4 linked regions of the Canis lupus familiaris genome follow. The protein of the gene in region 3 binds, or shares a complex with, the protein of the main gene of each other region. Links are inferred from orthologs where the notes say so. Each region holds a gene or a part of one and is shown on either strand. Other genes may lie near its edges.

The links.
Region 1: SARNP (region 3) and THOC7 share a complex: the UniProt entries of both Homo sapiens proteins name them as parts of the transcription/export (TREX) complex. The link is inferred for Canis lupus familiaris from reciprocal best matches to the Homo sapiens genes SARNP and THOC7.
Region 2: SARNP (region 3) and THOC3 share a complex: the UniProt entries of both Homo sapiens proteins name them as parts of the transcription/export (TREX) complex. The link is inferred for Canis lupus familiaris from reciprocal best matches to the Homo sapiens genes SARNP and THOC3.
Region 4: SARNP (region 3) and THOC1 share a complex: the UniProt entries of both Homo sapiens proteins name them as parts of the transcription/export (TREX) complex. The link is inferred for Canis lupus familiaris from reciprocal best matches to the Homo sapiens genes SARNP and THOC1.

What each region holds. Positions count from the first base shown.
Region 1 is NC_049241.1:27,567,867-27,575,848, forward strand, and holds part of THOC7 (THO complex subunit 7 homolog), read left to right. Parts: intron 1-3,706; 5' UTR 3,707-3,824; intron 3,825-4,807; 5' UTR 4,808-4,826; coding exon 4,827-4,935; intron 4,936-5,150; exon of another isoform or gene 5,151-5,198; coding exon of another isoform or gene 5,199-5,223; coding exon 5,224-5,325; intron 5,326-7,673; coding exon 7,674-7,731; intron 7,732-7,982. UniProt on the Homo sapiens protein: Component of the THO subcomplex of the TREX complex which is thought to couple mRNA transcription, processing and nuclear export, and which specifically associates with spliced mRNA and not with unspliced pre-mRNA.
Region 2 is NC_049225.1:38,017,539-38,026,185, forward strand, and holds the start of THOC3 (THO complex subunit 3), read left to right. Parts: upstream 1-2,901; 5' UTR 2,902-2,973; coding exon 2,974-3,240; intron 3,241-3,984; coding exon 3,985-4,141; intron 4,142-5,922; coding exon 5,923-6,127; intron 6,128-8,647. UniProt on the Homo sapiens protein: Component of the THO subcomplex of the TREX complex which is thought to couple mRNA transcription, processing and nuclear export, and which specifically associates with spliced mRNA and not with unspliced pre-mRNA.
Region 3 is NC_049231.1:532,220-540,201, forward strand, and holds part of SARNP (SAP domain-containing ribonucleoprotein), read right to left. Parts: intron 7,900-7,982; coding exon 7,832-7,899; intron 4,013-7,831; coding exon 3,961-4,012; intron 2,756-3,960; coding exon 2,682-2,755; intron 2,257-2,681; coding exon 2,228-2,256; intron 1-2,227. UniProt on the Homo sapiens protein: Binds both single-stranded and double-stranded DNA with higher affinity for the single-stranded form. Specifically binds to scaffold/matrix attachment region DNA. Also binds single-stranded RNA. Enhances RNA unwinding activity of DDX39A.
Region 4 is NC_049228.1:67,145,215-67,153,196, reverse strand, and holds part of THOC1 (THO complex subunit 1), read left to right. Parts: intron 1-920; coding exon 921-1,021; intron 1,022-2,449; coding exon 2,450-2,516; intron 2,517-2,714; coding exon 2,715-2,765; intron 2,766-2,856; coding exon 2,857-2,927; intron 2,928-3,301; coding exon 3,302-3,397; intron 3,398-3,971; coding exon 3,972-4,037; intron 4,038-7,982. UniProt on the Homo sapiens protein: Component of the THO subcomplex of the TREX complex which is thought to couple mRNA transcription, processing and nuclear export, and which specifically associates with spliced mRNA and not with unspliced pre-mRNA.

The sequences.
Region 1 (7,982 bases), on a different chromosome or scaffold from region 3:
CTTTGTTTTTTCTTTATGGCTTCATAGTATTCCATGATATTCTTGTACCAAAATTTATATAGTGCCTGGTTCATGGACATAGTCATATTGCATACAGGCAAGCTTATCTAGAATTGTTGGGCCAAAGGGTATATGTTCTTTGAAGTTTAGGTAGATGTTGTTAAAATACTTTATAGATTTCTTGATTGATGATTTTTGTAAAGATGTTATTCTATTTTTATTTATTTGAGGGGGGGGGAAACGTGAGGAGAGGGGGAGCAGAAGGAAAGGGACAAGCAGACTCTGTGCAGAGTCCAACATAGGGTTCAATCACATGACCCTGAGATCAGGACCTGAACAGAAAACCAGGAGTCAGATGCTTAACCAACAAGTCACCCAGGCACCCCATTGATTGATGATTTTTAAGTATGAAATGAGCGCCCAAATTGCACTTGCCCTGATTCCCCCAAGCCAAAAGTTGCTGTCCTCCTAATCTCTTTTGGTGCATTTCTGCATCACTCACTCAACAATGCTAGCCTCCTCTGCATGTGTGTTCATATACATGTTATTTCTCTACCCAGAGCGAAAGAGTTCAGGTCTTTATCTCACATCCTCAGAACCACTCCAGTACCCTATGGACACATGTGCTCATGGATCAAGTATTCATGTCTTTTGTACAAGAAGAGAAATCTCTGCTTCGGACCTGAAAATAAGATAGTTGCCTGCTGGTCCTTGTTAGTGTTTTATTGAAACAAAGCTCTGGGCAGCCCAGGTGGCTCAGTGGTTTAGCACTGCCTTCAGCCCAGGGCGTGATCCTGGAGACCTGGGATCAAGTCCCATGTCGGGCCCCTTGCATGGAGCCTGCTTCTCTCTCTCTGCCTCTCTCTCTGTGTCTCTCATGAATAAATAAATAAAGTCTTTGGAGAAAGAAAGAGAGAGAGAAAGCTCTGTGGAGGGCAAATAGTCCCAGGCAGGCACCACAAGTCTAATTTAAAAATATTTATTGACCACCAGAAGTGTAAAGACCCATGTGAAAGGTTGGAGAGGAAACAGAATGAATAAGACATAAGGTCCTCATGAACCTTTTCCCCAAGGTTATTTGGCCTGTACAGTGTTCTAAACACTTTTCAAAAACTTTTATAATTGGGATATTGCATATATAAAAGTACATAGATATTTTTTTAAATACTTTATTTATTTACTCATGAGAGACAGCAGAGACACAGGCAGAGGGAGAAGCAGGCTCCATGCAGGGAGCTTGACGTGGGACTCGATCCCGGGACTCCAGGATCACACCCTGGGCCGAAGGCAGGCGCTAAACCGCTGAGCCACCCAGGGATTCCCAAAGTACACAGATCTTAAATATGCAGCTGGAATGATCGCAAAATGTGCTTGAAACATTTTTAGTTAGTCACCAAAACTTAAAAAGCTCTTGAAAAACCAGCAGTGGTAGTAGTTTCCCCCTTAGGGTATTTATTCTCCAATTTTGCTGTTCCCTATTATCCCTGGTCCTCAATAGAGTAGGATGCCCAGGTATCTGGGAGGAAGATGGGGTTTGTTCAGGGGTGGGGTATGGGAGAGCAAAGATAAGAAAACGAGAAATTGAACAAAAGAAAGGAATTGAACAGTGTCAAACATCAGACTGCTCACCTGCTGGAGATTTACTTTTAACAAAGTTAAAGCATATGTGTAATAAAAAAAATTCATTTTCTGCATTTTAATCTCTTTGAGAACTGTTTTGTCTCAGGCTCCTCAAATAACATTGTTGGTGGTCAAAAACTGAAAGTATTAGTTTGTATTTTAAAAGTGTAAAATTAAAATAAGTGATGAATCGATAACTTGAGCTGCCTGTCAAAGCCATGACTCTGAGAACAAAACCCAATTCTAAAAATGTTTATCTGATGTCACAGAACAGATTTTAAAACTGCAGCCACCTGCCTTCCAAAAGTTTATCTCCACTGCACCTGCACTCAAAAATACTTCTGCCTACGCACAGGAACTATTGTTTAAAGATTTTGCTGTTGATTCATCATGCAGGCTCTCCAGGAATTATTCACACTTTAAAATTCATTTAAAAAAAAATAATGCATGCACGTGGTGAAAAGCAAACACAATTTGGTGAAACGATACAGAAAATTAAATTTTTTCTCATCCTCTCTGTAGTCCCTCTCACCAGAAGAAACCACTATCACCAGTTTTTTGTGTTCCTTCCAAAGATATTCTGAGTACACACATACATGTGTGATGTGCACATGTGCATCCACATACATACACAAAGCCTCCTCCTTTTCTATACAAATGGCAGCAAACTGTGTGCTTCTCTGCACCTGTTTTGTTTTCATTTCACTTCATGTACCAAAGGAGATTTTTTGGCAGCAGTGTATACATCTACACTATTGGCTGCATAATATTACATTATATGAAGTTTTCATAACTTAACCAGTCTCTTATTGGTACATGTTTAGGTTTGCAGTCTTCCTACTACAAACAGCACTAAGAACATCCCTTTACATTTATCTTTGTGGTTGGGTACACATGTTATCTATGGGACGAATTCCTAGAATTGGAGCTCTGGGGTCAAAAAAAAGATATGTGCCTTTTAAATATTGTTTGTTATAGCCCATTTGCCCCACAAAGAGCATACCAGTTTACATCTCATCAGTGTAAGTGCTGTTTCTCTCAGTATCCTTGTGAATGCTTTTTATTGGGTATTTTGATCTTTGCCAAACTGATAGATGAAAATTATGTTTGGGGTACCTAGGTGGCTCAGTTGGTTAAGCCTCCAACTCTTGGTTTTGGTTCAAGTCATGTGAGCTAGCTGCTTAGTGGAGGAGTTGGCTTGGGGATTCTCTCCTGCCCCTTTCCCGGCATGCTCTAGCTCTCTCTCTCTCTCTCTCTAACGTAAATAAATAAATCTTTTTTAAAAATTATGTTTTCTTGGGTTTCAGTATGCCCTTTCTCTTGTCATGATCCAGCATTATTTTGTCCAGCAAGAACACTAGCTCAGGGCTGCCAGACAGGCAGATTGGAGCTCCACTTATTACTCATTGTTATTATATGCCCTTTGATTTCATTTTCTTTTTCTTTCCCTTGGAGCAAAGTGAGACAAACATGTTTAAAAAAAAAAAAAAAGTCTTCATGGGGAAAGAAACATCACAGATGTAATAACTAAATTACTCTTTTTTTCCTACAAATCCATTCCCATTTCTCTGACCCATCTCTCATTATTTTCACCCAATCTGCCACTACCTCTTTCACATGTTTTCTTTCTGTGCCTTTTACCACTACCTCACACTAGTCAGAGACAGGAACAGTTCAGCCTTCCTTCTGTGTGAACATGTTTTTCCAAAAGTTCTCCAAGAACCATAGTCTTACTTCCTTGATGTTACCTGAAAACTATTTCTACTCAGCACCCCAGCAGAAGATTTCCAGTTCTGTGAGCACAGGTGATAACCCTGATCCCTAGTACACTGCCTGGCACACAATAGACACTCAATAACTGTCTTTATAGTGACATAAAAACATATACATAAATTGTAATAAAACCTACATGACCTAAAATTTGCCATCTTAGCCATCTTAAGTGAACAGTGTAGTGGCATGAAGTATATTTGCATCTCAGTGGTTTTCTTTTAGATAAATGAATAAGTTGTGATATTGGTTATTTGTCCCTGAAAGTTAACAAGAGCCAGACCATCATTTTAATTCACATTGTTCTTCCCTCCAGACGAAGTCATACGGAAGCGTCTCTTAATTGATGGAGATGGTGCCGGAGATGATCGAAGAATCAATCTGCTAGTGAAAAGTTTCATTAAATGGTGCAACTCCGGGTCCCAGGAAGAGGGGTAATTCATCTCACTGTTGTTTCTATACCAATGTCCTGATGAGAGTTTAAACCAATAGACGGGCCTGTCAATATTTCAGATTTTCACTCACCTTCAATGTCCAGTGGAGGCAACTCTGGGTTCATCCAAGTATAGATTTTTCTAGCCTTTATTTCTCTTCAGAGGCCTGCTTTATCTTTATTAAAATGTGCAGAAAGTGTAGTGGTAAGAAACAAGCATTAAATTCTGGCTCATTAAGCTGGTCACTTTTAGCAGAGAAACATTTAGTTAAATAAAATATCTAAATGAAATTTTCTCTTTTCAGGTTTTTTTTTTTTTTTCTTAAGTAAGCTCTAGGCTCAATGTGGGGCTTGAACTCACAACTCTGAGATCAAGAGTTGCCTGCGCTACCAACTGAGCCAGCCAGGTGCCTCAATTTTCTCTTTTTTAAATAAGCTAATAAAAAGTTGCAAGATTTTATATATATTTAATAACTCTTTTTGCCTTAGAAAAATTTCCCTCACTTGAATTAGCTTTTCACATAAATCATTATAAAGAGTGAAAAAATTGTGAGAATAAGAAATTATCTTGATTAAAAGATTTTAAAAAGTGGGACACCGGGGTGGCTCAGTGGTTGAGCATCTGCCTTTGGCTCAGGTCGTGATCCTGGAGTCCTAGGATCGAGTCCCATGTTGGGTTCCCTGGGGGGAGTCTGCTTCTCCCTTTAAAAAGTTAAAAATAAATAAATTTTTAAAAAGTATTTTAAACTTATATTGGTAAGAACAGCAGGCCTATCTTTGCACTTGTAATTAAAGCAGTTTATAAATTCAAGTACACCACATTAGGAAAAATTAAACATAAATGAAAGATATTCTAAATTATTTTAAATAAAGCAAATGATTCAGAACTTGATAGGATTTAATTGGTAAATCTTTGCCTGTACTAGAATGGTTCAACTTTGGTATTTCACAAAAAATCTTCATTCTGTTTCTCTTTTTCATTAGATACAGCCAGTACCAACGTATGCTGAGCACACTGTCCCAATGTGAATTTTCAATGGGCAAAACTTTGCTGGTATATGATATGAATCTCAGAGAAATGGAAAATTATGAAAAAATTTACAAAGAAATAGGTAAAGAAATGTAAATTAATGTTTCCATGTAATTTTAATTTTTATGGTCTAAAGGAGACAATATCTGCTAACATTTTTCTTTGGTTAGTGGTAAAATAGTAACAATGACAATATTAATAGAACATTGTAAATGTTAGCTACAAAACTGTAGTCTGGTATGATTGCAGTACTTTGGGTTATAGCTGTTTTTTAAATACCAGCATCTATTTTATTAGCAATGGAATTTAACACATTTTAAAATTGAAAATGGATGAAGATTATACATGTTGTTACAACTATTTTTAAAAGAACCTTTTCGTATAGAATGTAGCATTGCTGGAGCACATGAAAAAATTGCTGAGTGCAAAAAGCAAATTCTTCAAGCAAAGCGAATACGAAAAAATCGCCAAGGTAAGGGTTTTGTGGGATTTAGTGTGCAAATACTTTATTATTGAGTACTATTTTCATGCAGTTTTTAATGTTGTGTGGTAAAATCTTCAAGAATCAACCTGCATTATTAAAAAGAATTAGAAGCTAAACTTATTCTTTAAAACTGTATTATTATTTAAAATGGATGAGGAAGGCTATGCTGAAAAACTGTTTTTTTTTTTTTTTCTGGATTGTACTAATTATCCAAATATTTCTTAAATATTCTTTTTTTTTTTTTTTTTTTAACTATCTTCAGACCCCTTTGCCTAAGTCATGGTATGGCTAATCAGCAAAGGCAATTCACATAAGTAAATTAGATGTTTGTTATTTGTTTGTTTCATGGAGTTACTTTCCAGAAAAAAGAAAAGAATTTAAGCTCAGTGAGTTTTTATTAAGTACAAAACAAATGAACAGTTGCAAGCTGCCTAAATATCTAATAAGAGAAAGGTTAAAATTTAGCTTTGTCCTGATCTCTTTTGTTTTTTAATTAGGGTAATGTCCTCCTTGCAGTCCATAAAAACTATTTCAAAATAATTTTAATGGCCAGGACATTGCTCCTCCTAGAATGTAAATGGAAAGAAAGGAAGATAAAAAATTAAAAAATATAATACAAAAAAATAATAATAATACATAATCACAATTGTGACCTATATATGAAAAACTAGAAGGAAATGGAAAATGTTAAAGATTATTTTGGAGCTGTGGGTTTTTATGGGTTAAAAAGACCATCTGGTCTTTTTTCCTGCACTGATCATGTATTATTTTGTAATCTAAAAAAAAAAAAAATTTTAATCACACTTTTATTGAATTAATATGCTGATTTCCAAAACAATAAATTTTACTTTTTAATGAGCCAATTAAGATCTTTGGTTCCTTATTTTAAAAAGTTTGGTTTTGGGGATCCCTGGGTGGCTCAGCGGTTTGGCGCGCCTGCCTTTGGCTCAGGGCCGATCCTGGAGTTCCCGGATCGAGTCCCGCGTCGGGCTCCCGGCATGGAGCCTGCTTCTCCCTCTGCCTGTGTCTCTGCCTCTCTCTCTCTCTGTGTCTCTCATGAATAAATAAATAAAATCTTTAAAAAAAATAAATAAATAAAATAAAAAGTTTGGTTTTGAACTTGTTCTAAAATACAAGTGGTCAAGTTTGGTGGCCAATTTACAGCAGGATTTACCAACTTATTTGGTAATTATTATCAATCTAAAATCATTTGAAAAGGTTTCACAGTGTTTTTCTCAATTAGTTGAGGCTTTTAAATGAATGCTGCCATTCATCAGGTCAAGGTTAACAGGAAATAACAGGGAAACTTGGAAGTCTCAATGGAAAAGAAAGGAATTTTATCATTTCTGAATTTTAAATCGTTTCTAAGTTGCTGAAGTCTTTACCTTTAGAATGAGAATGAGAAGTATAATTTGCTATTGCTAAGATCTGAAATGAATGGTAGGATATATTTACCCTGCAGATCTTTTCTTTGCTGGGCAAATAGTAAGATCCTCTTTAGAATCGGTGCACTTAATGATCAATAAATAGCCTAAATTCACTTATACTATGCTGGCCTCTTATATCCTGCCTAAGGATAAGTCAATGGAAAAATAGAGTGGGAGCAAAAGTCCTTGTTTGGAACAGTTTTGAAATCATGCACCATTTTAGTTAGAGTTGAACCAAGTGATATTGGCAGTACTCTTTCCATCCCTCAGTGTTTTTGGTTTTTTGGTTTTTTTTATAGTCATTCTGCATTTTATTTCCAAAACCAGTAATCATGATATAGTTTTCCATATTTTTTGACATTTAGCTTTTTTTTGTATATTTTTTATTGGTGTTGATTTGCCAACATATAGCATAATACCCAGTGCTCATCCCATCAAGTGCCCGTCACCAGTCACTCCATCCCCCCGCCCACCTCCCTTTCCACTACCCCTTGTTCCTTTCCCAGAGTTAGGAGTCTCTCGTGTTCCATGACCCTCACTGATATTTCCCACTCATTTTCTCTCCTTTCCCCTTTAATCCCTTTCACTATTTTTTATATTCCCCAAATGAATGAGACCATATAATGTTTGTCCTTCTCCGATTGACTTCACTCAGCATAACACCCTCCAGTTCCATCCATGTCAAAGCAAATGGTGGGTATTTGTCATTTCTATTGGCTGAGTAATATTCCATTGTATACACAGACCACAGCTTCTTTATCCATTCATCTTTCGATGGACACCGAGGCTCCTTCCACAGTTTCGCTATTGTAGACATTGCTGCTATAAACAATGGGGTGCAGGTGTCCATTTTTTTCATATCCATGTTCAAAGAAACCTTAATTTGTTAAATATTTTTATATCTTTCAGAATATGATGCTTTAGCAAAAGTGATCCAGCACCATCCAGACAGGCATGAGACATTAAGGTAAGTTTAGAGTTTACTTTGAAAGGAACTATCTTTATATATAAATATTTACATATTAGTCTATGTATTCCATTTTTACAGAAGTACATAATTTGTTTCAGAAGGAGGGGTTCAGATCTTCCAAATTACATATTCTATTACCGCTTGATTGAATTTTTTCCTTCCTCTGATCTTACTGTCTATATTCTAAATTAAATGCATATAATATATATCAAACAAAAATAGATAAATAGAATGTGGTATGGTTATAT
Region 2 (8,647 bases), on a different chromosome or scaffold from region 3:
GTATCAGATTCTGTCTCAGTGAAAAGCAGAAGGATACACTTATCTAACATTTGTGTTTACAGAATATAGAAAAAGAGCACAAGGGAAAGTGAAATAAAAAACACACATGATGTTCAAAAATACAAAGTTAATATAGAAACACAAAGAATTATGTTCATAACATGGAGATTTCAGGTACTGAGAATCAGAGTGTAGATTTTGGAGTCGTAACAGCTGAGTTCTAATCTTTGCTCTGTCCAATAGCAGCCATGTGATCTGGAGCAGAACATTTTGCCTCTTTGTTCTTTAGTTTCCTTACCTGGAACCTGGAGATAGAAATCCTCTGTGTATGGAGGAAAAAAGAAAAAGCAAGCATATGAAGTCAGTTCCTGAAAATAAAAGTTTAAGGAGAGAAAACTAAACACCAAACAGTCTCCTAACCTAAGATTTTAATGAGCTTCATTGGTATTTTCTGGAGTCTAAAAAGCTTTGAAGTCTACAAGGATTTGTGATTGTAGTGGGGTAGAGAAGGAAATTGGGGAAAGAGAAGGGCCTCACTTACTAAGGCTTTTCTCAGAGCTATGTGCTTTACATGTGTGTGTATTTATTTATTTATTTATTTATTTATTTATTTATTTATGATTTTATTTATTTATTCATGAGAGACACAGAGAGAGAGGCAGAGACATAGGCAGAGAGAGAACCAGGCTCCCTGCAGGAGCCCGATGTGGGACTTGATCCCGGACTGAGGAACCATGCCCTGAGTCAAAGGCTTCACCCAACCACTGAATCACCGAGGCATCCCCTCTATTCCCTTTTGTATTTTCTACATTTGTTACCAAGTGCCATATTACCTTTAAAAAATTTTTTTAAAGTTGTCTTCACACCCAGTGTGGAGCCCAACGAGGGGCTTGACCCTGAGATCAAGACCTGAGCTGAGATCAAGAGTTGGATACTTTTAACGGACTGAGCCACCCAGGGGCTGCCCCTAAAATTTGTTTTTAAACAAATTTCCACCCACCGGCTTAACACCAAAACCCTCCCCGAGGCCACAGTCCTTCTCCAGGGCCTTGGTTGGCTCTGGCAGCTCATTAGTTGTTTCTTCAGCAGGAAACTGCTGGACTTGTGCTTTATTTATTTATTTTTTTTAAATTTTTATTTATTTATGATAGTCACAGAGAGAGAGAGAGAGAGAGAGAGAGAGAGGCAGAGACACAGGCAGAGGGAGAAGCAGGCTCCATGCACCGGGAGCCTGACGTGGGATTCGATCCCGGGTCTCCAGGATCGCGCCCTGGGCCAAAGGCAGGCGCTAAACCACTGCGCCACCCAGGGATCCCTGGACTTGTGCTTTAAAGTAGGGATCAGAGGGTGGGAATAATCCAAGGAGGGGAGGTGACACAGGTGGACATTTACTTTTTACTCTGTATCTTTTATGTTTTTGTATATATAATCATGTGCATGTAGTGTTGTGGCATCATTGAGCATGATGGTCACGAAAGAATTTTTGAGATGTTTTATGGTATAACAGTAAGTTTATTTAAGTGGCATGGGGTTAGGGCTTAAGGGCAGAAGGATCTGCACTCCTGCTGTATGAAGTTAGTAGTTGATGGGCCGGCTGGGAAACCGGGGCTCCAAAAAGGCGGATCACCCCCCCCCCCAACCCTCTCCAAGACCGCGGACTTTCCCCGCCCTCTTCACTGCGGCCTCCACGTCACCATCAGGAAACTGAAACTTTCCACCCAGGAACTTCCCAATTGGGAAAACCTTGCCCGAGGGTGCTTGCAATAAAGTTCATTTCTCGGATCCACCGGCCTCGTAGCCTCTTTTCTTACCACCGCCAGCGGGAGCAACTTTACAGTAGTTACATGCTTAGTGCTCAAGGGCGTCAGGATGTGCAGGGAGTATTAGGTCATATGTCTTTTCTTCAAATTTCTACTCATAAAACTATTTTCAAAAGAGTTCTCTGGTGCTTATCATTCATCTTGATATTAAGTATTCGTGAGATATACAGGCAGTCATGAGACCCTTTAAGAATATAGCAATCAGGGATCCCTGGGTGGCGCAGCGGTTTAGCGCCTGCCTTTGGCCCAGGGTGCGATCCTGGAGACCTGGGATTGACTCCCACGTCGGGCTCCCGGTGTATGGAGCCTGCTATCATAAATAACTAAAAAAAAAGAATGTAGCAATCAGTATGTATTTCATCCTCATCAGAACTATGCAGGCTACAGACTAGCCTTTTGGACTAGAGGTGAACATTTTCCTGCTTCTATCCTCCATCAATAGTACTTTTAAAAATCGGAGAATTTGTTTATTTAAAGACATACCCAGGCCCCTTCCCAACCCCTTCCCTCCCTGCTCTGGACCCCTAAAAACCTCTAGTTTACCAGCTGGTCCTTCTCCAGCCAGAGTCGGAGGCCTTCTGCTCTTAAGGGAGGGGATTGAGGGGTGGAGAATCTACTGTTTTTTATTGATGGGGAATTGAGGTTTGGAGGGATAACGTTGGCTTTTTTATTTTATTTATTTATTTTTAAAGGATTTTATTCATTTATTCATGAGACACACACACACACAGAGAGAGAGGCAGAGACACAGGCAGAGGGAGAAGCAGGCTCCATGCAGGGAGCCCGACGCGGAACTCGATCCCGGGCCTCCAGGATCACGCCCTGGGCCAAAGGCAGGCGCCAAACCGCTGAGCCACCCATGGATCCCTGGCTTTCTTTTTCAATTAAACAGGGATACAAATATATCTACCAGGCAGTAGATAAGGGGGAAATAGGCCCTCAAAAGCTCAGAATCACTATGATGGAAACTTAAATCCTAATCATTACTATTTGAAAAGGGGTAGCGCGCTGCATGCCGGGATTTGTAGTCCCCTCCCGGATGGCCCGCACTGCGGCTGTGCAGGGGCGTTCTCCAGGCGCATGCGTGCAGCGGCGGCGGCAGGCCTGACTGCACCAAAGCGGCGGTAGAGACGCGGGCTACTGGGAGCTCGCCATGGCGGTCCCTGCGGCGGCCATGGGGCCCTCGGCGCTGGGCCAGAGTGGTCCTGGCTCAATGGCTCCCTGGTGCTCAGTGACCAGTGGCCCAACACGCTACGTGCTGGGAATGCAGGAGCTGTTCCGCGGCCACAGCAAGACGCGCGAATTCCCTGCACACAGCGCCAAGGTGCACTCGGTGGCTTGGAGCTGCGACGGGCGTCGCCTGGCCTCGGGGTCTTTCGACAAGACGGCCAGCGTTTTCCTACTGGAGAAGGACCGGTTGGTAAGCTGACCGGTCCAGGCCAGAGAGAGAGGGGCTGTGGTAGAGCGAGGTGTGGTGTTGAGGGCGAGAGTGGGAGTGGAAAGGGGGGTGGAGGCGAGGGGAGAGGAGGGGTGTGGGGCTAAGGGGGATATGTAGTGCTGGAGTGACCAGAGTGGTGCTTGGGGATCTGGGGGCTGTGGTGGAGAGGAAGATGGTGGTGGTAAAAGGGAGGTGAGGGTGCGAGGGAGTGTGGCAGTAAAGGAGCTGTGAAGATGAGCGGGGAGTAGGCTAGGACAGGATGAAGACTGGTGGTGGACGGGACTGGAGTGAGGTGAGGGTGTGTGAGAGTGATGGAAGGAGTTGTGTGGTGGTGAGGAGTGGCTAGGGTCTGTGGTGGTGGTGGGGTCCCCATGAGGGTGTAATGGGCCCCTTTGAAAATAATAGGGCTTCCTGTGGGAGTGAGCAAGAAAATCGGGAACGTCGGTGGTAGAGTAAGTGTGGAGAACCAGAAAGAAGGAGGAAGTCCAGGGAAGGCAAAAGTGTAAGGGCATTCATGTGGAATCCAAACCTCAGAACAATTCAGAATGATTGGAAAGGAAGAGAAGGGGATATTGGGAAGAATTTTGGGGAAGGGACTTGGAAGGACTGGTTTCTTTTAAATTGTCTTTGTTAGACATAAGGTGCCTTGGTTTAAATAAAGCTGAGAAGTTACATGTGGAGGCAGGTACTTAAGTGTAAGGTGACATGTGGATTCTGTTCTTTCAGGTCAAAGAAAACAATTATCGGGGACATGGGGATAGTGTGGACCAGCTTTGTTGGCATCCAAGTAATCCTGACCTCTTTGTCACCGCATCGGGAGACAAAACCATTCGCATCTGGGACGTGAGGACTACAAAATGCATTGCCACCGTGAACACTAAAGGTGACTCTTCAGAGAGAGGGCAATAGGAAGATGAGCTACTTTTAGTAATTTAATTCAACAAGCATTTCCTGAATATCTTCTCTGTGTTTCGCCCTGTGTTAGGTATGGGACATCCTGGGCTGAATATGACAATCTCCAGCTCCTAGGGCCTAAAACCCTAATATAGTTCATGTTACACTGGAGATGTCTACAAGATGGATATCTAGAATGGAAGTGCTTAGTCTGCCTGTGGAGACAAGCAAGATCTCACAAAATTTGAGCAAACTCTTAGAATAGCTAATAGGGATTTAGTGGTCCGGGGTCCAGTGGGTGAGTGAGGAGTGAGCGGCAGCTCTAGGAGGGAGCTGCATGTGCAGATGTATGGAGAATTTGGGAAACTCCTGCTAGGCTAGAATGGCTGATCTTGGAATGAATAGTTTTGGTGGTCTGGGAGAAAATGACCTGGGGGTTGTGCAGTACATTTGTAGAATCTATTCTCTACCAGGTATTATCCTATAAACCTTGAGGCCACTTATATTTTATCGACTAACGTCACAGATTATAAGGTGTACCGATGTTTTATGTGTTGTTAAGAAAGAAAAGTTTCTAGATAACCATGATCCACCAAAACTTTTGAGATGCATCTTGATGCATTTTAAGATACGTTGTAAAGAATTAAGTGTGAAAATATATGCATCATAGAATTGATAAAGTTGATGAAATTTTTAATCGATGTGTTCACTGTGGGCCATTGGGCTTTGTTGACAAGTCTTGTCTGTAGAGGTGGAATGTTACAGTGCTTTCTCCAAGTAGACAACTGGTGATGCATGAATGATTTAGGTGGTATGTAGATGAACATTAAAAGTCGGCTGTGTGTTTATTTTAATGCCTACCAGGAAAAAAGAACTAGCCCATAAAATTTATTACTAAATGGAAACTAAATTTATTTAACTAAAAATTTTTTAAGTTAATTTTAAGAAAAATCTTGAATAAAGAAATATAGCTGTTAACGTGGATAGAACAAAATTGTGAAAGTGGCATATAAATGACCAGAGTTTTGGGAATGCTGGTCTGAGAAGCAGAGGCTTTGGGGACACCTGGGTGGCTCAGTGGTTGGGCATTTGCCTTTGGCTTGGGTTGTGATCCCGGGGTCCTGGGAGGGAGCCTGCTTCTCCCTCTGCCTATGTCTCTGCCTCTCTCTCTGTGTCTCTCATGAATAAATAAGTAAATCTTAAATAAAAAAAGAATCAGAGGCATTGGAGTCAAATCTAGTTTAGATCTTGGCTCTTTTATTTCACTGCTTTGACAGTTTGGCTCATCTCTCATATCTTCCATATCTTCATATGTAGAATGGGGATAATAAAGTGTTCTTTAGAGAATTATAGTGAGGACCCACAGGGGGAAATTTGTAGATGAATATTCTGGACTTATAATTGGTGAGTAAGTGGTCATTCCTTCTATTTTATTTTTTTTAAGATCTTATTTATTCATTCATGAGAAACACAGAGAGAGAGAGAGAGAGGGAGGCAGAGACACAGGCAGAGGGAGAAGAGAAGCAGGCCCCATGCAGAGAGCCTGATGTGGGACTCCATCCGGGGTCTCCAGGATCACACCCTGGGCTGAAGGTGGCAATAAACCGCTGAGCCACCCGGCACCCGGGCTGCCCATTCCCTTCTATTGGTTCGGACCTTAGTGAATGGAATTTGGAGATAATAGCTCTGGTCTTTGTCAGATTAAAAAAAAATAAACTTCTGCAGGATTTTGGGCTAACAATATCTTCCTGATTATATCTGGGTTTCTAGGGGAGAATATAAATATCTGCTGGAGTCCTGATGGGCAGACCATAGCTGTAGGCAACAAGGATGATGTGGTGACCTTTATTGATGCCAAGACACACCGTTCTAAGGCGGAAGAGCAGTTCAAGTTTGAAGTAAATGAAATCTCCTGGAATAATGACAATAACATGTTCTTCCTGACAAATGGCAATGGTTGTATCAACATCCTCAGGTGAGGGGGTTGTAGTTTAGGGACTGTCATATCTTTGCCCTGGGTGCTGTGTTAGATACAGAGATGAATTAGATGTGCTGAAGGAGCTTAAAGGACACATGGTAATAAAGAATCCTAACCTCCGTTGAGCAACTTTGAGCCAGACACCTTATATTTACTGAGTCCTATTAACTAGGGATCCCTGGGTGGCGCAGCGGTTTGGCGCCTGCCTTTGGCCCAGGGCGCGATCCTGGAGACCCGGGATCGAATCCCACATCGGGCTCCCGGTGCATGGAGCCTGCTTCTCCCTCTGCCTGCGTCTCTGCCTCTCCCTCTCTCTCTCTCTCTCTCTGTGACTATCATAAATAAATAAAAATTATTTACTGAGTCCTTAGAGAAATTTTATGCGGTTGATAGTATGAGTCTTATTTGACAGATGAGGATCTGGGATCCAGAGAGGTTAAATCACTAGTCAACTAGTGAGCACTGGAAGTAGGTGCACCTTGAATTATGGCTAATTTGTACCCGTAAAGTCTCTCCTTAAATATCACTTTCTCTCCAGGGAAGCCATCTTCATCAGTTTCCTACCTTTCCAGGTTAGAAGCTTATTTTATGTACTTCCTGTTGGAAGCATTTCTCATTCTATATTATAATTACATGTTTATTTACCTATATCTTCCACTAGACTCTAAATTCCATGAATGTAGGGACCACATATTACTTTGAATCCCTAGTGCCTACTTTAATACCTGGTACACAGAGTTAGGATCTCAGTAAATATTCTGTAAATGAATGGAGTGTTGGAATTGAAATTCAGGTCTGTGGGCTCTATTCTTTCTGCTATTCTCTATGGGCCGTGCAAGGCAGTGTAAAATAGGTTCTTGAAGAGAGGCTGAGAGTTTGCTGTGGCATCCCAGGAAAGAAACTTAGATTGACTGTGGGAGTTGAGGATTGAAGGAGGCAGCTTCTGAGCTTGACCTTGAAAGCTGAGTAGAATTTAAAGAATCAGCACAAGGCAGTCATACAATGGACAAAACAGGTGTGAATAAGCGTATTCTATATGGAAAGTAGTTGGTAGGTCAAAATTGCTGGGAATGGATGATAAGGTATCTGAAGAGAGGGCCTGAAAATGGGAAGATAAAGTTGAAGTATAATCTGGGACCAGATTATAAAAGGCTGGAATTCTGTGCTTAGCAACTTGAATTTTATTCAAGTGGGGATTCTTTAGTTTTTTTTAAAAGCCTTTTTATTAGAAAATAAAACATATACAGAAAGCCACTTAAAACAACTTATGCCTTAATGAACTGTTATCTGTGTAACCCCATCCAGGTCAAGAAATAGTAATTTGCTGGCCATCCCAGAAATCTGTCTATGTATTTTTCCTAGTCATAATTCTCTTTCCTCAAAAGGAGACACTATCTTGATTTTTATAGTATTTCTTTATAGTTTTAGCTACCAAGTATGCATTTCTAGATACTCTGGTTTCGTCTGTTTAAAAAAAATTAGTGTCTTTTAAGTTTGTTAAACTACCAAGTTGCTCTTCATCCTTCTTTTGTTTATAATATAGCTGTTGGAAAACTAGGCTGTTAACCTGCAGAGATTCTCCTAGTTTCGATTTTACTAATTTTGTATGCTAATTTATTTGTTGGAATATAAGATACTTCTTCTTATCAACTATTTGTTTACTTAAGAATATAGTTTACTTAGAAAAGGCAGGATAAATGCTTCTTTCCCTTTGTCATCAGATAATGAATTAGTTCTCTATTGCCTCCAAAAATGATGAGCTAGGTTGTATTTTTAAGACTCATAAACTCATGTATTGAAGCATGGTAGATGTATTTCAATCTGTTGGAGTAATTATCCTTAATAGAAACTCAAATTATCCCATCTTTAGCTAATGGGAGCCTCTTCAGGTTGATTCCTGAGTCATTTTTTTTTTTTACATAATCCTAGTAGTCTTCAGGTTGTTGCTCTCTGGTCTGACAGGATATCTGAGTTCATCTTGTATGTTTTCTGCCTCAGACCTTTAATCAGAAATTCCTCTAAGAATCGCTAGGTTCTTTTTATAAGAAACTGATATTGGAGCTATGGAAGCATTTCTCATTCTCATGGTTTGGTCATTATTTCTAGACCTTTCTAGTGGACAGAGCAAAGAATTCTATGTGTATATTGTAAAAAAAATAAAATATGTGCATTGTGAATTTATATTGATGACTTCAATTAAAATTCAAGAAGAGTGAGGAAGACGGGGGTGGCTCAGGGGTTGAGCATCTGCCTCTGGCTCCAGTAGTGATCCCGGGGTCCTGGGATTGAGTCCTGGGTCAGGCTCCCTGCAGGGATTCTGCTTCTCCCTCTGCCTGTGTCTCTGCCTCTCTTTCTGTGTCTCTGATGAATAAATAAATGAAATCTTTAGAAAAAAGAAAAGAAAAAAAATTCAAGATGAGTGGAATTTTACTAAACATCTTCTATATTATAAATAACTCCTTCCAAACTGAGTATTTGAGTATTCTGGTTCTCAGGGACACAAGGGATTTATAGAAA
Region 3 (7,982 bases):
GCAGAGACACAGGCAGAGGGAGAAGCAGGCTCCATGCAGGGAGCCCGACACGGGATTCGACCCCGGGTCTCCAGGATCACGCTCTGGGCCAAAGGCGGCGCGAAACCACTGAACCACTGGGCTGCCCGAAATTTTATACAATATTAAAAAGAAATGAAGTACTAATGTATCCTACAACATGGACAAATCCTGACATTATGCTAAGAAGCCAAACACAAAAAAACTACAAATTGTATAAGTCCATTTTTATGAAGGCAAATCTTTATGCATAGAAAAAAATGAGTGGCTGTTTGGACTGGGTGGCAGAAGGAATGGGAAACAACTGCTAATGGGTACAGAGTTTCTTTTTGGGGTGATGAATGTCCTAAAATTAGACTGTGATGATGGTTGCAGAACCCTGTGAATGCACTTTTAAAAAACCATTGAATTATATACTTTAAATGGATGAACTGGGATCCCTAGGTGGCGCAGCAGTTTGGCGCCTGCCTTTGGCCCAGGGCGCGATCCTGGAGACCCGGGATCGAATCCCACATCGGGCTCCTGGTGCATGGAGCCTGCTTCTCCCTCTGCCTATGTCTCTGCCTCTCTCTCTCTCTCTCTGTGACTATCATAAATAAATTTTTTTAAAAAACATAAAAAAAAATAAATAAATAAATGGATGAACTATAGGGAATATGAGTTATATCTTAATAAAGCTGTTAAAAAATACATAAATAAATTTTTTTAAAAAACATAAAAAAAAATAAATAAATAAATGGATGAACTATAGGGAATATGAGTTATATCTTAATAAAGCTGTTAAAAAAATATATCACAACTGGACAAAGGAACACAGCAAAATGCTAGATCTTTGGAGGACATTTTCTTTTTCTTGAGGACATTTTAACACTGACAGTTCAAACTGACATCACTCGGAAGACTAAATTAGATTAAGAGATTACATTTAAAATTTATGTCTCTGGGATGCCTAGGGGGCTCAGCGGTTGAGCATCTGCCTTTGACTCAGGGTGTAATTCTGGAGTCCCAGGATCGAGTCCTGCATCGGGCTTCCTGCATGAGGCCTGCTTCTCCGTCTGCCTATGTCTCTGCTTCTCTCCTCTCTGTCTCTTATGAATAAATAAATAAAATCTTTAAAAAAATAAAATAAAAATAAATTTATGTCTCTAAAACTGGACTATGTTCTTTTTAAAAGTAACTTTCTTCCTGATTTATAAGATACATACACTCATTGCAGAAATTTTAAAAACAGAGAAAAGCAAAAAGAAGTCACTCAAAATTCCACCAACCAGAGACAATAAGTATTAACAATTTATACATATTCCTCCAAACTTTTTTTTTTTTTTTTTAAAGTAGGATCCAGGGCCAAGCCAGGGTTTGAACTCAGAACCCCAAGCGCAAGAGTCTCATACTCTACTGACAGAGCCAGCCAGGCACCCCTCAACTTTTTTTATTTTATTTTAATTTTTAAACTCCACACCACGCATGGGGCTCAAACATACAACCATGAGATCAAAAGTCCACGCTCCACCAACTAAGCTAGTCAGGCACTCCCCAAACCTTTTTTTCTATCCATACATGCACTTCTATTACTAAAAGGGAAATACACACTACAATACAGTTTTATACCTGTTTTCACTTAGTATTTTTCTGACAAATATTCTTCAGTATCATTTTAACAACTGTATAGTCTTCTACTACACTATGGTGAACACTTAACAAATTCCCTATTACATATTACATTGTTGCTAGTTACAGATCACTAAACATAATGCTGTGATAATCCTTATGGCTACCTAAGTCTTTAAGCATATCCAACATTATTTCTTTGTAAATTCCTAGAAGGAATTACAAGACTGTTGAGGTAAAAGATACTCTCTTTTCTGTTTCACCTCTTACAGTAGGCAGTATAACACGAGACAGGAACACAATTACATACCAATTTGAGACACCAGAATAAGTAGACAAGGTACTAAAAACTTCTCTAAAGATGTCCAAGAAAAAGAAAAACAAATGTTCACATTTCCTCCTATTCTCTCATACTTCAGCACCTTCTCTAAATTGCCCAGCAAGGCTTAAGTATGGTTTTACCTAAAGCAAAAAGGTGAATGTTATAAGCACTTCAAGTCTTCTCAAGCTAACAAGTTTAGCTTCATTTGAAGAATTGAAATATGTTTTGACAGGAAAGTAAAAATATAAAGAGAACTTTCTTAGAAGAGTCTCTTCTTACCTTTTGATGAAACTGAAGATATCCCAAATCTGTAGGAAAAAAACACATGCTAAATTTTAGGAAGCTATTCACACTCCTGGTTGTCTGTCTCCATGTCAAGTGTACATATGGCACTTCTTGCTTGTGATCTCAAGCCTTGCAATCATTAGCTAATTCTAACAACCCCATGAAAGAGGTTCAGTTTACTTTTTCTCACAGAGAGACCAGAGAAGAAGCGAAAAGGAAACCTTATCAAAATTGAGAGTAACAGTGTTTTCCTGCCTTTTACCTATTAAAAAATCCTGCTTGATGAGACCCATCCAAATCAGCAAAGAAGTTCTGAACAGAGCCAAATGAGTATTTATCAGCAAAGTTTCTATTTTACTTAAAATCAACAATTATATTTAAAACCTAGGATCATGCCCCTCTCCCATCATACTATCACTGTCTCAGATCCAAAAGGCTGGACACTCACCTTGCTGCCCGGGCAGCTTTCTTACTCTCCAAGCTCACAGGTACATTGAATCGTTCAGCTCTCTTCTGCATTCTCTAGGTGATAAAAAGACAAAAGAAGGGAAGAGATGGGATCCCTGGGTGGCGCAGCAGTTTAGCGCCTGCCTTTGGCCTAGGGCGCGATCCTGGAGACCCGGGATCGAATCCCACATCGGGCTCCTGGTGCATGGAGCCTGCTTCTCCCTCTGCCTGTGTCTCTGCCTCTCTCTCTCTCTCTCTGTGACTATCATAAATAAATAAAAATTAAAAAAAAAAAAGGGAAGAGAAAAATTAATTTCTGGTTTTGTGGTGTTTAGAAGTGTGTATCTTTAGAACATCAGGAGTATATTTCATAAGGTCTAAACTGAGAGCACCAACAATCCTAGAGGATATCAGGTTTTATCCATTCAGGGTTTAACTCAACTGCCCTTTCCAGAAAACAAACACAAAAGACTATTATTACACTTATGGCCTCAAAAACAAAAGGAAAGGAATAAAATAAAACCCACATTCTGCACGAAGCCAAGAAGACAAAAGCTGTGTTTGGTTGACCTTTGAAAAGGGATCAAAGGAACAGCTTGGTTCCAACAGTAGTGGTACTCTTTCAGTTAGAAATGAGGCAGCATTGTCCTATGTCATCTCTACTTTAAAGGTACAAAAAACCCAGAGATCTCAACTGGAGCCCAGTTTCAGAGATCTTGACACAAAATCCAGAGAAATTTTAGTCTTACCAGCTATCAAGTAGTGACATCCTCCTAATTACTTTTCATCTCTTCCAATGGATAATCCTACCAAACTCTAATCTAGTTTGTAAACATCTTAGAGTTACCACTAAGGCCTAGGTACTAAATATGAAAAGACTAGGGCTTCAAAAGTGACTATGCCAGCCCAAATATTTTCTCAAGTGCTGACAGTAGAAAAATATATCAATACCAAAATCTGTCAATACTGATTTTCTATTTATGAGTCAGTTTTTCAGTGATTATAAAGGTAGAATAAAAGGTAAGAAACAGAAAGATAGGGATCCCTGGGTGGCTCAGCGGTTTAGCGCCTGCCTTTGGCCCAGGGCGTGATCCTGGAGACCCGGGATCGAGTCCCGCATCAGGCTCCCTGCATGGAGCCTGCTTCTCCCTCTGCCTGTGTCTCTGCCCTCCCCCCCCCCCATGTCTATCATGAATAAATAAATAAGTTAAAAATCTTAAAAAAATAAAATAAGAAAGATACATAGAGACTGCTCTTCTACTAGGGAGCAAAACACCTACCTCAGTCTGTGGTATCTCAGATGTAATTTTTACCACTTTCTTCTCTGTTGCCCTGGAAAAGAAGAAAGAAATTTTTTAAAATGAGGAAACTTGATATTCTAACCCAAAACTTTAGAATATATAAGAATTCATCTGAATCTTGTCCTCTGTCTCATTTCTCTCCATCACCCCTTAATTCAAAAAAAATATGAAGCTCATTAGAACTTCAGTTCATCGAACTGCCATCTATTTAAGAGTTCAAATAGCAGACAAAGCTACTTTACAAAAGTATAAAAAAGGAATTAGGAAAAAAGTCTGGTTAAATATATTGGGCTGAAAGGAAACACTCAAAGGACATTAGAAACCATTTCTTTTACTTTCAGGAACTTTAAATTTACTTCTGGACTAATGACTATTCCTCTAACCCTCATTTAAATGGCAGCTCTCAATTTTCATCACAACGACAATTAACGAGTGCTCTACAAGCTCTGGTTTCCTTCTTTTACAAATCCCTTATTTCTCCCACGGGGACTGTAGCTCCAGCTGGAACAGTCAAAGTGAGACAAATAAAAATGCCAAAGGGAGTGGGAAGAAAAAAGACTAAGGGGAGTTTGAATTAGGAAAACATGGCTAAGTTACTAGTCAAAAGGTTTAAGAGAAAACAAAAGAGGGGGGACCACTGGGGCGGGAGACAAAGTTCGGAAGTACCCAGGATAAATGGAAGGGCATTAACCATCCACCAAACAACTCCCATAAAACTGTGGGTCATAACCAGTCTCATTAAGGTCCCTCATTTAGAGACATGGGCAGCCTTTGTTCCAATATCCCGGACACTTTCCCCATTTGATGCCCTGAAAGGTAGTAATGGTTTAATGGCATTTTCAGAGGAAGCAATTCTGAACAGGAACTTACTCTCTCCATCCTTTTGTTGGAGGTTCTTGGACTGACAGACAAGTAATGGGTGCCCCCTGCTGACCATAACTGCATCCTACAGTACTTAACTGCCCTGGTTTGGGGTAGTGGGGGTTGGGGGTATCAAACTAGAAATAGTAACATATTTCTGGAGAACCTCAAGCCAAAGAGGAAGGAGAATCTCCTAATGAACATTCAAAGTACCTAAGTTAGTCCTCAATATTCTTACTTTAAAGAAATTCCTGAATTCTTACCATTTCCTGGTCATCCACATGTCCCAAAACCTCTCTCGTTCAGACAGAACGGGACACTGAATTTTAAAGTTTTACTTGAAGTCCAATGCCATTAAGAGAACAGTCTTCTCCACCAACCCCCAGCTAATAACTTTCTTCACATTCCTATCTTGAAGCACAATCACTGCAGTATACCTCATGGCAGAAAGGGAACCTCAAAATAGGGTGCTTCTTTCTGCTTTGTTTCAGATACTTTAGGTACAATTAAGCTCAAGCAATTAAATACACATCACATTCTGGAACTCATGGGAAACGTATTCTCTTTACGGAGAAATTTCTATCCTAACCAGTCACAAGACATTCTCCAAACTACAGGGACCCAGAACTTTTCTGAACATACTGCAGTCTAACCACTACCATCACTCTAAAGAGCAAAATCACCCCTGCTAATACACACTTTCAATTTCCTTGTTTAGAAATTCATTAATAAAATCAAATGCTCTGAATAAGAGAATTACACATCTCACATATTCTAAGAATAATGAACTTCTACGAATTTTCAAACTTCATTGTTAACCTACAAAAACCAATTATCATTGTATTCACCTTATCTTCCTTCTTCCTCCAGATGTTCCCCAAAACATTGCTACTTTAAATGTATTCTATAAGCCATTTCCTTAAGGCATTATATCTAAACGTAAACCTCCTATGATGGAAGATAACTAGATGGCTTTAAAAAGCAATATTATTAGGGGTGCCTGGGTAGCTTGGTCAGTTAAGCATCTAAATCTTGATTTGGATTTCAGCTCAGGTCATCATCTCAGAGCTGTGAAATCAACCCCCACATCAGGCTCTGTGCTGGGCATGGAGCCTGCTTAAGATTCTCTCTTTCCTTCTGCCCCTTTCCTCCCACCAAAAGCAGTATTATTAGATAAAATCTAATGAAACATTAAATGTATATCCCCTGTGATGCAGCAAATCCACTGCAGGGAATTTATCGCATGGACACACTTGCATAAGTATAAATATAGCTGCTTAAAGACACGCAGCACTGCATTTTTTGCTATTATGAATTACCTAAATGTCCATCAACAGGAGACTGGTTTGAAATTACTGTTCATCAATAGAATGGAGTACTATTAGCTGCTAGAAGAATAAGGTTCTATGTTGATAACTACTAAATCTGGGTGAGCAGTACATACAGGTCTATTATACTGTTCTCATAACTTGTATATATACTTGCCATTTCCCACAATAGCAAGCTAAAAAAAGAGACCTACCACTTAGAAAGATAATTACACCATTTCATACGGTTGATGTGAGGACTAAATGGGAATACATGCAAAGCACTTAGAATCCTGCCTTGTGGGGATCCCTGGATGGCTCAGCGGTTGAGCACCTGCCTTCCACCCAGGGTGTGATCCTGGAGTCCCCGGATCAAGTCCCACATCAGGCTCCCTTCGTGGAGCCTGCTTCTCCCTCTGCCTGTGTCTCTGCCTCTCTCTCTCTCTGTCTCTGATGAATAAATAAAATCTTAAAAAAAATAATCCTGCCTTGTATATAACATTTTAATAAAAACATTATTATAAGGTAGCCCCAGTGGAGCAGCGGTTTAGTGCCGCCTGCAGCCCGGGGTGTGCTCCTGGGGACCCGGGATCAAGTCCCATGTTGGGCTTCCTGAGTGGAGCCTGCTTCTCCCTCTGCCTGTGTCTCTGCCTCTCTCTGTGTCTCTCATGAATAAATAAATAAAATTAAAAAAAAAAAACAATTATTATATAATGACTATAAAAACACATGAGAATAATCAAGAAACCCACAATATGCCTAGTGTATGTATGTATGTATCTGTACATGCATACATACACAAACTCTCCATATAACATTCTAAAGAAATATATTGAAAACCTCTGGAAAGTCAGATGGGAGTAGAGAGAAGAGGTACATAATTTTCGGTTTATATACTTATCTACATAGTATTTGACTTATCACAAGCACATATATCATTTTTTATAATTAAATGCATAAATACAGCTATGAGGAACAAAAATGTTAAAAAGGATTCAACGGTTATTAATTACTGGATTTGACAGCCCTCAAAAAAGAGGTTTATGATCAACCTGTGGGATAGTTTTTTTTTTTTTTTTTAAGATTTTATTTATTCATGAGAGACACAGAGAGAGAGAGAGAGAGGCAGAGGGAGAAGCAGGCTCCATGCAGGGAGCCCGACGCGGAACTTGATCCCAGGTCTCCAGGATCAGGCCCTGGGCCGAAGGCGGTGCCAAACTGCTGAGCCACTCGGGCTGCCCTGTGGGATAGTTTAAATAAGGTCCACTTTCTACTCTAGTACTTTGTCTTCCCTTCTTCCACTGTAAATCAAAAAGGGAGAGAGAATAAAGTGTTACCTAAAAGACATTATCTCTGCTCAGAACCATCCTCCCTTACAAAATTCCTTATTCACAGGAAAATCTAGATGTTTATACAGAAAAAGAATCATCCATTATGGTCCTACAACAAAGGCTAGAACTAAACTCTGTCTGAGATTGAAGTTTCCTGGTCCTAGTTATCTATTACATAACCCAGAGACAAACCACTTTGCTTCACTGGGACCATGTTCTGAAAATGTATGATCTAATAAAAAATGAAAAAGCCAATGGAAAGGTTTAAGAAGTAAAGAGAGTGAAAGACTAAACCCCTCCAAAACCCAGAACTATCTGCCCTTACTCAGATCATAAAAAAGGGATAGTTACACATCAACAGTTTTCTCAGGAGGTTCTTCCTCTTTGACAGGTAGTTCTATGGGCTTTGGTTCTTCTTCCTAAAACCAAATGAAATAATGGTTAATATAAACCAACAGTAAGTACCCAACAATAAGAGTATTAGAACTCAAAAATGAACCAG
Region 4 (7,982 bases), on a different chromosome or scaffold from region 3:
GTGACTTGCAAGTTGGTCATCCGTTTAAAATAAGCAGCTTCTCACTGTTGCTTTAGCTCTGGAAGGCCAAAGCAGCACACGTTTGTGGATAAAGACTTCAGCGTTGCTTCAGGGCTCTAGGGATATAATGAGAATGACTGCCTTCACAGTGGAGGCCATTCTTAGAAAACATCCAGGGACATAGTTATTTTAAAACTTCCTCATAAGGGACCTTCAAGTCCTTTCTAATGCAGATTCTGTGATAATACAAGTATGATATTATTTTCTCTAAAATAGAAGGAGGGCAGCCCAGGTGGCCTGGTGGTTTAGCGCCACCTTCAGCCCCGGGGTGTGATCCCGGAGATCTGGGATCCGGATCGGGTCCTGCATTGGGCTCCCCGCATGGAGCCTGCTTCTGCCTCTGCCTGTGTCTCTGCCTCTCTAGAATAAATAAATAAAATCTTTTTTAAAAATTGTTTAAAATAGAAGGAAATAATCCACTTAATTCACAGATGGTTTTTCACTTGTAATTTCTTATTACCGAGCCGCAGGTCTGTTGCAGGCACTTTGTAGGGCTGCAAAAATGACCAGCATCCCTTGTTATCTATATATGGACCTCTCTCTAGCCATCATTTCTTTATATGTGAGAAAGTGGCAGCCATACTTTTACCTAAGTATATTTCTGCTTTGCTTTATCTTGACTTCAGGACCACTGATCTAACATTGCTATCTGCCAACATAAATATCTCATGGTTAAAATATCTGAAGCCTTTGCTCCCTTGTCCTAGGGCTTGTGCAGTAATGCCTCATATTGAATGAGCCCCTCAGTGATGAATATTTTATTAAAATCTTTCATTTCTATAATAGCATACCTGTACCTTTAGGAAGAATTTGAATTTAATGTGTTTTGTGTTGTGTGTGTGTGCTTGTTTTTCAACTAGTTGATGGATTTGCAACTGAGCGACAGTAACTTTCGCCGACACATCCTGTTGCAATATCTCATTTTATTCCAGTATCTCAAGGGACAGGTCAAATTCAAAAGGTAAGTTAATCTGGGTAGTAAATGATTTCTAAACAGTCCTTTTTAAAAGAAGACTCACTTACTGATCTATTTCTCTTACGTGTCAGACTCATTTAATGTATAAGGGTCACATCCCTGAAACCTTCCTTTTGCAGCAACACTGGATAATCAGGAGCTTTTGTTAAAGATACTAGATGTTAGGGTACTTGTTATAGAGAAAAGGTGTTGACTGTATCTGCTGTCAGTGTAAGCCTCTCCTGTTGAGCACTGGGGTTCCTGGGGTCTTCAGTTGTATGGATGGATCTCTGTTCTAGACTTCCACCATTCCCCTCTCACTTCACCCAGACCTTCTCCAAACCTGATTTGAAGACTAATAAGCCCATAATCTCTTTCAAGGTGTGGAGCTGTCTAGGACATTAGTATTCAAAAGTAAAGTAAATCTTTGAAGAACAGAGCAGTTCGAGTCTCTTTAGGGTTTCAGAAAACCTGATCAGTTCCTCTACTTCCTGGCTACCTCCATCTGCAACATAAGCCACTGCCTCTTGTCCTATCCATGACTGAAGTTCACCATTACTCACTGGCATTTTAAGTTTGCAAAACAGTGTTGGATTTATTAGTTGTGTGAAAAATGTGCCTTTACTACCTGCTGGCTTTGAATCCCACTTTCATGACTCACTAGGTGCAATTAAGCTCTTTCAGACTTGTGATTTTAAGATGACACATAGCAAGTACTCAAAAAAGTTATTTCTTGTCCTTCTATTGTTGAGTTTTAATATATAGCATGGTAGAAAGATCAAGGACTTTGGAGCCAAACCTAGGTTTGCATTTAAGCTTTATCTCTGATCTCTGTTTAATAAAGCACACATGCTCGTTCTGAGAATTAATAATGCATCTAAAGTGCTCAGATTCCTGGCACAGTAGTCTATCACTATTTATTGACTAACTATAAGATCACCAAGTATCACTATATATTGGTGCATAGTGAGAGCTGAATTAATGGCACCCATTAACATTTTGGGTCTGCCTTCAACCTTCACTAAGATTTAGGGGGTTTTATTCATTATGTTTTGATTGCCTTTTAAAGGAATGTAGCATGCTTTATCTGAATGTGCAGCATGGAGAGGAATAGGTTAATATTCTCAGAGGTTTTCATTCAACATTAAATTTCTTATTTTAGGAAACATTCATTGCTCTGTTCATAGTTAATCAACTTGATGGAGTGTCCTCCCTTATATACCTTCGTGTCTTCAATTCTAGCCATCTTAAATGAAGTGCAAGAATTTTCTCTTATAATCCTCTTGTGATTGTTCTTAGTAATTTTTTACACTATTTTCAGTATGGTTAACTTACCTGTTACATGCCTTGGGTTTTTATAAGATAGTATATAAGCCTTAAAATTGAGTATACATTACTGTAACTCAAGCATGCTTTTATTGCTTTGTTCCCTAGTTCAAACTATGTTTTAACTGATGAGCAATCACTCTGGATTGAAGATACTACAAAATCAGTTTATCAAGTAAGTTCAACATGCAACAAACCCATGATTGAACAAAATGGAAATTTAGAATTTTCTTTGTTTCAGCCCCAAATAGGAAAATAAGGATAAAGTTAAGCTCAGGTACAAGACCACAAACACTTCTTGGTCCTCTGCCTACAAACCACTCCTAAGATGCAGAAAGTTGTTGAAAGCTTAGTATATTCTTTCTAATCACAGCTACTATCTGAAAACCCCCCCGATGGAGAAAGATTTTCAAAGATGGTAGAGGTATGTGTTTTATATTTACATAGTCTTCTTAGCACCAAATAGAATTTCAAAGGCCTTCATTATATAAATGTAATTTCTTTGTTTTTCTCAGCATATATTAAACACTGAAGAAAACTGGAACTCATGGAAAAATGAAGGCTGCCCAAGTTTTGTGAAAGAAAGGTAAATATATACTCATCTCAAACACTATGAAAAGAAAGGCATTTCAAAATATAGTTTGACATTATTTTGCATTATGTACAGATAGTATGTATTTCATATAAACTGAACTCTATAAGAATATAGCCATTTTGATTTACTTCTAGTCGTCTTTCAGATTCCTTGTCATTAAGTTCCCAGAACAAATTAATCTATTATTCCTGAAAAAATGCCATTTGTCCCCTAGTTGTGGCATTTTTGTCTCCTATCTGATGAGTGTTCTATAATAAGAGGAAGCTTTTATGTTTTTATAGGAAAAAACAATAATTTTCTTTCACATTAAACACTTGTTATGTATGCTCTCCATTTGTAATTCCAGTGTGTTTTATTCACCACAGAACATCAGACACCAAGCCAACAAGAGTAGCTCGAAAGAGAACGGCACCAGAGGACTTTCTAGGGAAAGGACCCAACAAAAAGATTCTGATGGGAAAGTAGGTTAACCTGTCTCTTCCATATGTGGGATGGTATTGGTTTTTTTTATATATATATTTTGAAGATGTTACTGTAAGATCTCTCCAGTTTCTGTGTTTTTTCAAGTTTTTTTGTGTTTGGCACATACATAGATGACTAAAATGGATCACACACTCTCAATCTCGAGGGCCCATTACCTGGATTCATGCAGATACATAAACTTCCATTTTGTCTCTCGCTTCCCAAATCCTTGGCTCTAGTCTGTGCCATTTTTTCCATGTTACAGATAATACAATCACTGTTAGATTGATTGAGCTCACTTCAATTTCTGCAAGGTACCATGATCCTTCAGGTTCTATTACCTTCCAGTTAATTACTCATTGCTTTATACTTGCTTGAATATTTTTAGAAAGAACAAATGACTGTTATCATTTAATATAGCTATCTAGAAAATTTGCATAATACCAAAAATTAATGAATGAAAACTCATCTTGTCACCACCTAAAAATTCACTAATTAAGTATTTTTACAACTTTAAGGCATATGAGGATGATGTCCATTAAAAATGTATTTATTTATGTGTCTCTTTTGTAGTGAGGAGTTAACAAGGCTTTGGAATCTCTGTCCTGATAATATGGAAGCCTGCAAATCAGAAACAAGGCAAGTTTAAAATGTTTCACATGAGGTACTGCTTTTCTCAAATGTTTTAAGTGAGTGAAATTAATTTATTGTGATTGACTTTGGCATAGCAGAATATGGCTTCCCACAATGAAACACCTAGAAGTGCTGATAAAATAGTTTTAGAAATCACAAGGAAGTACAAATTTACAAAAGAAGAGGGAACTGAAAACGAAAGCATGAGCCAATATGGTTGCTTCTAGCTGGGAAGCTTGCAGAGGATTCTCACTTTGGGGAACCAGGGAACTTAGGTTTAAGAGCCACAAAAGGACAGAAGGGAAGACCTTCAGCCTGCACAGATTTGTAACTGAGTCTCCTTTGAGTAAAGCTGGGGCCCTTGAAGCACTGCACTAGATATAAAAAGAAGAGCAGATTGGGGAGGAGGGACTTGCTCAGTGGCATAGGAAATAACTTGCCCATTTCTACCTGAGGTGTGAGTAAAAAGGAAAAAGGACAGCTGGGGAAATTATAACTACAAGTCTGCTGTCACACAGTCCTGTAGTTTAAATTTATCCTACCAGCAGTGTAAAGGAACCCCCCTAACTAAAGAGGTGAATTCAGATGTCTCAGTCTGATGATACAAAGCTTTCTGAGGTCACATGTTCAATCTAAGCCACACAAGGATCCTACAGATAAAAGTCTGAAGATAGTCAACCTTCTGAACTTAATAATCCACCACAAGAAAGAATCAGCAGATAGGACAAACAAAACAGACAACAGAAGTTAGACAACAGCTTCTGATAATAAAACCCATCAAGTAAAGATAGCTTAAAATAAGTATATTTAAGATAGTTAAAGGCATAAAAGAAGGAATTGGAAATTTTAAAAAGGAATAGCATACTCTAAAAGGACCAAGGAAATTAAAAAAAAAAAAATTCTAGCAATGAGAAAATATAATCATTGAAATTATAAGACTTAATAGGCATGTTAAATAGCAGACTGGATATAGGTGCATATTAGAATTAATGAATAAGAAATCACCCAGAAAGCAGTCAGAGGGATCGAGAGTTAGAAAATATGAGTTGAGAGTAAAGAACCACAGAATGAGGGAATAGAGAGCAAGAAAGAGATAATGAACTCAGAACTGAGAATAGGCATAAATTCTTAGGTTCAAGAAAAACAAATTTTAAGTAGGATAAACAATAAATCTGTATCTCTACACATTGTTGTAGAGTCACCAAAGAGAAAAACCAGACTACTTGCAAAACAAAATCAGACAGCCAACTGTAAGAACAAAAGAAACCAGAAAATTGGAATGATAGCTCTTCACAGTGTTATGAGAAAGTGTCAAGTAACAAGTTGGTGGATGAATCAGGAGTTATTGTGAAATAAAGTTATTTTCAGATTAAAACCATGAAAATCTATTATCAGCAGTACTTACTGAAGCTGTCAAAGAAATTGAACCCAGAAACACAGTAAATTGCAAGAAACATTGCTATTCAAGACACTGATAAACATGAATAAATCTCATCAAGAATTTCCTATATAAAGTGGTATTAATTACTAATTGGAGATTATTTTAAAAGGTAAAAACTAAATATTTGATAAAAGTAACATAATACAGTGAATGATCAGAATTAAAGAATGTTAGAGATGAAGACAGAGATAACAACTTTAAATAAAGCATGCTTGGGGCAGCCCGGGTGGCTCAGAGGTTTAGCGCCACCTTCAGCCCAGGGCGTGATCCTGGAGACATGGGGTCAAGTCCCATGTCAGGCCCCCTGCATGGAGTCGGCTTCTCCCTCTGCCTGTGTCTCTGCCTCTCTATGTCTCTCATGAATAAATAAGTAAAATCTTTTTTAAAAAAAATAAATAATAAATCATGCTTGCTAAAGTATGTAAAAGAAATAGAATATATAGAAAATATATAACTTTCAAATGAGTGGAGGATAAAAGAATATAAGAAAATTCATGCAATCAAAAATAGGCAAGATAAACACACATAAGAAACAAGTAATAGAACATTGAGGCACCTGGGTGGCTCAGGTCATGATCCAGGAGACCAGGGATCGATCCCCTACTTCGGGCTCCCTACTCAGCAGGGAGTCCGATTGTACCTCTCCCTCTGCTCCTTCCTCCTGCTCATGTGTGCACACGTACCACGCCTCCTCAAATAAATAAAATCTTTTAAAAAAAGTAATGGAACACATAAAACAATATAGTTAAAAATAAATGGAAATGGACTTTCTAGTTCAAAGATGGAAGCTGGTATTGTCTTTTAAAAGTCCTTCTATATGTTATTTATTTATTTATTTATTTATTTATTTATATTTTTTATATATGTTATTTATAAGAAACACTTTCAAAATAAGGATATGGAAAGGTTGAAACTAATATATATATATTAAAACATATATATATGAAGAATAGTTATACTGATATCTGTCAGAAGAATCTTAAAGCCGAAAGCATTAAAAATAAAGATAATTATTGCATAAAGATACAAGAAAAAAAATGGAGCAGAAATATATATATATTCTAAACCTTGTTTCTAAAGGATATAGTCTCAAAAAACTGACAATTAGAATGAGAAATTAACCAATCCAACATTTTGACAGTTTTCACACTTCTGCAAAATGTTTTACTAGAATTTTGACACTAAATACTTTAAGAAAAAAAAAATACTTTAAGTATTTAATAAGTTCAGTCAAAAAAAGTTAGGGTTTAACAAGACGATTAACAGGCTTTAGGCTTACAGAAAACACAAATGCATTTAAATTAATACATGAATAACAATATATTTAAAGAACTTTCAGGTACTTATTTTAAATAACTTCAGAATCAAAGAAGAAATCATAATGTAAATTAGAAAACATAGAATTAATGACAAGGAATTAGGGGCTTAAGCTTTTGAGAAATAGAAAACTTATGACCTTAAATGTCTATAAATTTAACTCAAAGTTAACTGAAAATTAAGAATCCAGCACTGAACCCCAATGTTTATAGCAGACTAGCCAAATTATAGAAAGAGCCCAAATACTCATCAACTGATGAATAAAATATGGGGTGGGTGGGTGTGAATCTTTATCTATAATAGAATATTATTCAGCCATAAAAAATGAAATCGTGCCATTTGCAACAATATGGATGGAGCTAAGCATGTAATATGCTAAGCAAACTAAGTAGTCAGAGAAAGACAAATACCATATGATTTCATTCATATGTAGAATTTAAGAAACAAAATGAATGTGGTGGTGGAAACAAAAAGAGGCAAACCAGGAACACACTCTTAACCATAGAGAACAAATTGAAGGTTACCAGAGAGGAGGTGGGTGGCAGGATGCTTTGAATGGGTAATCGGGATTAAGGAGGATATTTGTGATGAGCACGGGGTGATGTATGGAAGTATTAAATCACTAGATTCTACACCAGAAACTTAATATTACACTGTATATTAACTAACTTAAAACTCTTTTAAAAAGAATCTAACACTGGACCAAGTGAATTGCAAAGAATGTAAAAAAAAAACAAAAAAAAACTAGAAATTGGTTAAGATAGTAAATAATAGCATCAACAAAATGAAACAATTTTTTTAAAGACTAGGAAAATTTTTAAAGCTCCAGCAAGTTGATTGATAAATTTAGATCCTTGCCAAATCTGAGAAAAAGTCAACCCAATAGAAAAATGTACAAAGTGATAGCTTCAAAAGCAGAAACTAATAAATCTAAGAAAAAATACCAAACATCAGTAAAATCAGATTAAAAACGACAGCAGGCAGTTTCATAGCCAAGAAACTCAATAATTTAAGCAGCCCCGGTGGCTCAGCGGTTTAGCACCACCTTTAGCCCAGGGCCTGATCCTGGAGACCCAGGATCAAGTCCCACATCGGGCTCCCTGCATGGAGCCTGCTTCTCCCTCTGTCTGTGTCTCTGCCTCTCTCTGTGTGTGACTATCATAAAAAAAATAATAATAATAATTAAAAAAAAA